Linked DNA regions of Oryctolagus cuniculus. The protein of the gene in region 1 purifies or fractionates together with the protein of each later gene. This does not show direct contact. Links are inferred from orthologs where the notes say so. Each region holds a gene or a part of one and is shown in the gene's direction. Other genes may lie near its edges.

Region 1 (4,352 bases):
CCAATCCACGACCTCTGTGAGGTAGCCTACTATCCCACAGCTGAGAAGGCGGAAGGTTGGAAACGTCTAGAATGGGGTGGGGACCAGTTGCTTTTTGCCAAGGGCCACTTGGGTATTTATAACATCACTCGTGGACCGTACAAAACGATGGGCTTAAAGAGCAGCTGTACCGCACTTCTGTCTTGCCTGCAGCGGCTTTGGCCTGGCCAGGTCCCGTGGTCTCCTCTGGCCCGCAGGCCGGACGCTGCCCAGCCCTGGTCTGGGGGCTTCAAGTGTTAAGATTCAGATTCAGGTCCGCTGGACGCGGTGGGGCTCCAGGGGACGCCTTGGCTCTGAGTTCCGGCTTCGCTTTGACGGATCTGCCGATTCCCACGGCGTCAGCGCTGACTCCAGGCCACCAGGGTGACGTCCTGGGCGTTTCTGGCTCAGGAAGGTGGCCTAGGGTGGACTCGGCCGACTTGAGCCCCTGCATGTTTTCCTCTGGTACCGGTTTACAGAACAGAGACTCCAGTCTTGAATATCACCGTTGTCTGCGTGTCTGCAGGAGCCAGAGCTGCGGCCAAAGTCAGCGCCTCCTTCTCCACCCACCGCCCACCGCCACTCAGCACAGCTGGGAGGCCGCACCGCCCACCGCCACTCAGCACAGCTGGGATGCCGCACGGCCCACCACCACTCAGCACAGCTTGGAGGCCGTGCCAGGGACTCCCGGCGCCCCCAGGGCCGCGGGCCCCCGCCGGCCTGGTGCCGGGCAGTCCCAGTCCCGGATGCCCCAGAGCAAAGCCCAAGGAAAGGATCTGAGAGCGGGGCGGACAGCAGGCAGGGAGGGAAGAGGGAGGGAGACCGGGGAGGGCCGACAGGGCGCCCTCTCAGCCAGGCTCTGTTGGAGCCGCGCGTGACCGTGACCGCAGGACACACCGAGCTCCCTCCTTGCGCCCCCGGCCCAACAGCCAGCAGGGAGCGGAAAGGGAGAGGTGAGCGGAGGCCTGGGTGCGCTGCGTCCTGTCTCAGCGGGGAGCGGCACAGACCGTGGACAGCCCACAGCTAACAACGCAGGCGACCGGAAGTCCCACAGCTCCCGACGTGGAGCCCCGCGCCCCCCGGCCGCCCCCAGCGAGCGCAGGTGCCTGGCGCAGGCGAGGCGGCCAGCGCGCAGCAGGTGGGCGCCGCCTCGGGCAGGGGCGAGGGGCGCAGCCTGGGGCCTTGTCGAGTAGCCAGCCAAGACCCCGGAGCGGCGGGGAGCATCAGCGGGGATCCCAGGGGTGGGGAGGGGTCCTCCCGGCTTCTAGAATCTTCGCCCACCCCTCACACCCGCCGGCCGCCGGGCGTTCTCGACTGGGGAGGTCCCGATTTCAGTGCACCTCGCCACAAGCGTAACTTGGGACAGCACCGCAGGCGGCCAGCCTAGCCCCGCCCCAGTGCGCGCGCCCTCACGGCCCGCGGGCGCCTGAGGCCCCGCCCCGCTCCAGGCCCCGCCCCCAGCGCCGGCCGCGGCCCCGCCCCCGACGCAAAGGGCGGGGCGTCGGCGGCGCCGCGCGTGCGCCGTGTGCCTCCGCGGCTGCCGTTGGCCGTCGGCGCGGCTTCGGCGGTTGTCTTGGAGAAGCAAGATGGCGGCGACGGCGGCCGCGGTGGCGGCCGAGGAGGACACGGAGCTGCGGGATCTGCTGGTGCAGACGCTGGAGAACAGCGGGGTCCTGAACCGCATCAAGGTGGGGCCGGGAGGCCGGGGCCTGGCCCGGCGCGGGGCGAGGCGGGCGCGGGGCCTGGGGGCCGCGGGGCGAGGCGGGCGCGGGGCCTGGGGGCCGCGGGCGTCACAGCGGGACGCGCTCGGCGTGCGGGGGCCGGGCCGGGGGCGGGGGCGGGGGTCGCGGACGCGGGGCTGGACCTCGGGGGCGGGGGCGGGGGCGGCGAGCGCGGGGCTGGACCTCGGGGCGGGGGTCGCGGACGCGGGGCTGGACCTCGGGGGCGGGGGTCGCGGACGCGGGGCTGGGCCCGGGGCGGGGGTCGCGGACGCAGGCTGGACCTCGGGGGCGGGGTCGCGGACGCGGGCTGGACCTCGGGGGCGGGGTCGCGGACGCGGGCTGGACCTCGGGGGCGGGGGTCGCGGACGCGGGCTGGACCTCGGGGCGGGGGTCGCGGACGCGGGGCTGGACCTCGGGGGCGGGGGCGGGGGCGGCGAGCGCGGGGCTGGACCTCGGGGCGGGGGTCGCGGACGCGGGCTGGACCTCGGGGGCGGGGGTCGCGGACGCGGGCTGGGCCCGGGGCGGGGGTCGCGGACGCGGGGCTGGACCTCGGGGCGGGGGTCGCGGACGCGGGGCTGGACCTCGGGGGCGGGGGCGGCGAGAGCGGGGCTGGGCCCGGGGCGGGGGTCGCGGACGCAGGCTGGACCTCGGGGGCGGGGGTCGCGGACGCGGGGCTGGACCTCGGGGGCGGGGGTCGCGGACGCGGGGCTGGACCTCGGGGGCGGGGGTCGCGGACGCGGGCTGGACCTCGGGGGCGGGGGTCGCGGACGCGGGCTGGAACTCGGGGGCGGGGGTCGCGGATGCGGGGCTGGACCTCGGGGCGGGGGTCGCGGACGCGGGCTGGGCCCGGGGCGGGGTCGCGGACGCGGGCTGGGCCCGGGGCGGGGGTCGCGGACGCGGGCGCTGACTCGGGCTCCTCTTCCCAAGGCCGAGCTGCGCGCGGCCGTGTTCCTGGCGCTGGAGGAGCAGGAGAAGGTGGAGGTGAGAGCCGAGCGCGGGGCGGGGCCGGGGGCGGGGCGGGGGCGGGGGGGGGGGCCGGCGCGGCGATCGGGGTCCGCTTTGCGGAGTAGCCCTAGAGAGGGGCCGGGTGACAGACCAGGACAGGGGGGTGATGCGTCCTGGGGGCGGGGAGGGCCTCCGCAACGCCGTGGCCCTCTCAGCGCCCCCGGTTCGAGTCCCGGCCCAGCCTCTGCCGCAGGTGTCCTGCCGGCGCCCGCCCGCCCGCAGGCAGCAGGTGTGGCTGGAGTCCTCGGAGGCGCCTGCCTGGGCGGCCCAGACCAGCGCGGTGGGGGTGGGGGAGCCGCGCTGGCCGCCGTCCTCTCGCCCGCTCGGCGTCTCATACAAGAGAAAAACTGAATGCAGGAGAAGCTGCGCACGTGTGGCCCGCAGAGTGGACGCGGTCTCCCTCAGACTGTGGGCCCGTCCTCCTCCTCCCTCAGACTGTGGGCCCAAACTCCTCTTCCCTCAGACTGTGGGCCCGTCCTCCCTCAGACTGTGGTCCCGTCCTCCTCCTCCCTCAGACTGTGTGCCCGTCCTCCTCCTCCCTCAGACTGTGTGCCCGTCCTCCCTCAGACTGTGGGCCCATCCTCCTCCTCCCTCAGACTGTGGGCCCATCCTCCTCCTCCCTCAGACTGTGGGCCCGTCCTCCTCCTCCCTCAGACTGTGGGCCCGTCCTCCTCCTCCCTCAGACTGTGGGCCCGTCCCCCTCCTCCCTGAGACTGTGGTCCCATCCTCCTTCTCCGTCAGACTGTGGGCCCGTCCTCCTCCTCCTCCCTCAGACTGTGGGCCCGTCCCCCTCCTCCCTCAGACTGTGGTCCCGTCCTCCTCCTCCCTCAGACTGTGTGCCCGTCCTCCTTCAGACTGTGGGCCCATCCTTCTCCTCCCTCAGACTGTGGGCCCGTCCTCCTCCTCCCTCAGACTGTGGGCCCGTCCTCCTCCTCCCTCAGACTGTGGGCCCGTCCTCCTCCTCCGTCAGACTATGGGCCCGTCCTCCTCCTCCTTCAGACTGTGGTCCCGTCCTCCTTGTCGCTCCCCCTCTTCGTGGAGGAACGACACAGGACCCTGCGCTGTTCTTTCGTCTGCTCGGCCCTCCCCGGGTTTGCTGCTGGTTCTTCCCGGGTTGGCTACCATCCCTTCCACCTCCATGGAAGGGCGGTTCCCCCTGGCCGCTTTCCCCACTTCCGCGGGGGAGCGGCACACCGCCGGCCGGCTCTCTCGGGGGCTGCACAGGTGTTCCTTCAGATAGATGTTCCTGGTGCATGTCGTCTCTCTCCTCCTTTATAGTCCTCTTCCACCAATCCCAACTCGGCTGCCCACACGCCGAGTACGCTGCTCTCCTCCAATCAGGAGCAGGTCCTGCTGTTTATTGGTTGAACTGGAGGCAGCTGTGTAGAAGCTGTTTTCTTCTCTTCCAGCACCATATTGTGGGAGAGCAGATGCATAGAATAAGTCCTAATTCCAGTAACTTAGTCTAGTCCGAGTTGCTCCCCACAGATCCCCCTTTCTTTTTATTTTTGGCGTTGATACGTGCCTGTCTTCGGTGTCCCGCGGCACACACTCTGCTCTGCTTGCTAGAGTTGCCCACAGGTGCTTACAAGCCCTACCAATCAGGCA
Region 2 (3,805 bases), on another chromosome or scaffold:
TTTTGAACTTTTTTTTTTTTTTTTTACTTTTCGAATATAGAGACCCGATTATAAAATGTTTTTAAGACAGTACCTGTAATTAAAAATCAAACCATCAACTTCCTAAGGCATATCAAACTGACTTTGGGATTTCAGGTCTCTAAAGTTGGGATGCATATCCTAAGAAGTATGAAAGATAATTGAATTAGGAAAAGAAAAATATTAGAATGCTATATTGATTTTTGTATCATTTGAAAAATATCTGTTGTTTCTATATAGTTTATAATGTGCACAAAATATATGTGCAGAACTTCTTGTATATAATTTATTCATAAGTAAGATACATGCTAAAGCATGTTTACTTGTGGGATGTCCGGTCAAGTGTTTGGATAACCACTGGAGGATAGAATTACAGAATTCAGAAGCTTGATAATGATAGAATTTAAAACCAATTATTTGACTTGGCTGATATGAAAAATAAAATTCTTCTAAATTAATAAGTTGTCAGTTTATGTAAGTAATGAGCAGTAAGTCACTCAGCAGCTAGTCAGTCACATAACTAGTCAGTGGCAGACTAGGATCTGGGTCACTGGACCACTTAAGCAAAATCTAATATTTAATCCCCTAGGTTGACTCTTGGCATGTATGGTTGGCTGTGTGTGTGTAGATGTAAAGCTCTGATGTAATCAGCCATAATTAGTTTCCCTCTTATTCCAGTGTGCTAACTTCATCCTATTAAATTTTTGAAGTATCAGTCAATGCGACGGCATGAAGAAACCTGGGCTGAGAGCCTTCGCTACAGGAGACCCGATCTCGACTGCATGGCTGGCTTGCGGCGCATCACACTGAATTGCAACACACTCATTGGGGACCTGGGCGCACGTGCCTTTGCGGACTCCCTTAGTGAGGATTTATGGCTTAGGGGTAAGTTTAATGAACTTCTAAAGTTGAAAATAGTGCATTTTTAATGTTAAGTATGCTTAGCTCTTGGCTCAATAATGTCATAAGGTTTTTCTAAAATCCTTTCTTCTATTAGCTTTTATTGTGATTTTAAACTTTTATCAATGTTACATGTATTCTTTATAGAAAATGTAGAGTAACGAGAAAACCACTGTTCTTTTTGGTGTGTGTGCATGTATTTTGTCTTTTTTCTTTATAGAATATTTGTATATATTACCAAAGTGAACACTGCATTTGTATACTTAGAGATTACAATAATGTAATCTAATGTATTTTGCTACCCTGCTTTTTTTGCGTAATGATCTATCATATAGTACTCTATTACATTGAAGCACGATAGTTTAATTCCAAGCTATTCAATATTTAGACAGTTTATCTTTTACTCTTTTAAATAGCTTTGGGATAAATATCTCATGTTTACACTTGTGTGTATGTTGGAATTACTTCCATAAGATTAAATTATTAAAAGTGGAATAATTTAGTACAATATATTTTTATAGACTTGATGATACATGCTGCCAAATTGCTTTCCAGAAGTGTTTTGCCATTTTGTAGTCCACACTAGCTGCATATGTGAGCCCTGCACTCATAATCTTTGGGTAAAGTCTGTTTTAAAACTTCAAACTTCATGTAAATGAGAAACGCCTTTTTTTTTCTTTTATATACAAGTAGGATTGCTAATATAGTGCAAAGATTTTTAGAAATCAGTAGATTTATATCTATTACATCATTTTCATTGATAGAAGTTCCACTACATTACTATAATACCCTTAGCTTCTTTATTCCTGTTAGATATCTAAGTTATTTGCAGCTTTTCAACTGTTACAAACAATACTTGGATACACACTGTTGTTCACATCTCTGGTTATTTTGTTCAGGTAAATTCCTTTTTTTTTCTCTAAGATTTATTTATTTGAAAGGCAGAGTTAGAGAGGGACAAAGAGAGAGAGAGGTCTTGGATCCACGGGTTCACTCCCCAGTTGACTGCAACGGCTGGGGCTGAGCCAGGCCATCGTAGGGACTCTTAAGACCTCTTCTCAACCTAATCACCTTGCAGAGGCCCCACCTCCTACAAGTACCCCATTGAGGGTTGGAGTTTCAACACAGGAATTTTGGGAGAACACACAGATGTGTAGTTCATAACATGGGGTTTTGAAAGAGTTCAGTTATTGCAATGTAATGGTGCTTCAAGATGTGACTTACATTTTTCCTCTGATGTAATCTTTATTATACTGGTATTTTTGTTTTGATCCCTTTGGGATTAAACAAGTAGATTAAAATAATTTTAATTGAAAGAGAGAGACAGAGATCTTCCATGCCCTGGTTCACTCCTCAAATGCCCACAGACAGGCCAACCCAATAGCTCAGAACTCTATCCGAAAGTGGAATAGCTGGAACTTGAATTGCGCACTCTGATATGGGATGTAAGTGTCCCAAGTGACAACTTAACATGTTAAGCCAAATGCCTGCCCCTATGTGAGTAAGTTATTTCTTTTTTTTATTTCTTTTTTTTGTTTGTTTGTTTAAAGATGTATTTATTTATTTATTTGAAAGAGTTACACACAGAGAGAAGCAGAGGCAGAGAGAGAGATAGGTCCTCCATCTGCTGGTTCACTCCCCAGTTGGCTGCAGTGGCAGGAGCTGCTCCAATCCAGGAGCTTCTTCTGGGTCTCCTGCACGGGTGCAGGGGCCCAAGGACTTGCGCCGTCTCCTGCTGCTTTCTTGGCCATAGCAGAGAGCTGGATCGAAAGTGGAGCAGCTGGGACTCGAACTGGGACTCGAACCCTTATGGGATGTTGGTGCTGCAGGTGGCAGCTTTATCTGCTAAACTACAGCACTGGCCCCATGAGTAGGTTATTTACCCTGAGAATTATTAGTTTTCATGAACATTTGTTCTCTTCTTTGAACTTTATTTTATTTTATTTGAAAGGCAGAGTTAACAGACAGAGACAGAGGTTTTCCATGTGCAGGTTCACTCCCCAAATGGCTGGAGCTGGGCTGATATGAAACCAGGAACCAGGAGCTTATTCCAGGTCTCCCATGTGGGTACAGGGCCCCAAGGACTTGGGCTGTTTTCCGCTGTTTTCCCAGGTGCATTAGCTGTATGGGAAGTGGAGCAGCTCGGACTAGAACCAGTACTTATATGGGGTGCTGGCACTGTAAGCAGCAGCTTTACCCACTATGCCACAATGCTGGCCATTGACCTTTTTTTGAGAGAGTCCTTAACCATCATTCTTTCCTGATAGGTTTTTAGTATATAATCTATATTCACACATTCTTTTTTTTTTTTTTTTTTTTTTTTGACAGGTAGAGTCATAGACAGTGAGAGAGAGAGAGAGAGAGAGACAGAGAGAAAGGTCTTCCTTCCGTTTGTTCACTCCCCAAATGGCCGCTACAGCCGGTGCTGCACCGATCCCAAGCCAGGAGCCAGGTGCCTCTCCCTGGTCTCCCATGCGAGTGCAGGCGCCCAAGAACTTGGGCCATCCTCCACTGCCTTCCTGGGCCACAGCAGAGAGCTGGACTGGAAGAGGAGCAGCTGGGACTAGAACCTGGCGCCCATATGGGATGCCGGCTCCGCAGGCAGAGGATTAACCAAGTGAGCCACGGCGCCGGCCTATATGCACACATTCTTTTCATATAATATTTATATTGCCTTAGATTTCTTTGTTACTTCTGTTTGGAAACTAGCAAATCTTAAATTTACTCTATTCCCCCCCCCCCTTTTTTTTTTTTAAAAACATTTATTTTGAAAGACAGAGTAATGGAGAAAGAGGGAGAGACTGAAAGAGATCTACTGGTTCACTTCCCAAAAGTCTGCAATGGCTGTGACTAGGCCAGGCTGAAGCCAGGAGCCAAGAACTCCATC

Evidence for each region.
Region 2: the proteins of CEP43 (region 1) and CEP78 purify together in Homo sapiens (affinity purification with mass spectrometry; 3 studies listed by BioGRID and IntAct, with this or other methods). This does not show direct contact. The link is inferred for Oryctolagus cuniculus from reciprocal best matches to the Homo sapiens genes CEP43 and CEP78.

What each region holds. Positions count from the first base shown.
Region 1 is NC_091436.1:2,075,942-2,080,293, reverse strand, and holds the start of CEP43 (centrosomal protein 43), read left to right. Parts: upstream 1-1,529; 5' UTR 1,530-1,604; coding exon 1,605-1,706; intron 1,707-2,666; coding exon 2,667-2,720; intron 2,721-4,352. UniProt on the Homo sapiens protein: Required for anchoring microtubules to the centrosomes. Required for ciliation.
Region 2 is NC_091432.1:152,029,792-152,033,596, reverse strand, and holds part of CEP78 (centrosomal protein of 78 kDa), read left to right. Parts: intron 1-728; coding exon 729-903; intron 904-3,805. UniProt on the Homo sapiens protein: Centriole wall protein that localizes to mature centrioles and regulates centriole and cilia biogenesis. Involved in centrosome duplication: required for efficient PLK4 centrosomal localization and PLK4-induced overduplication of centrioles.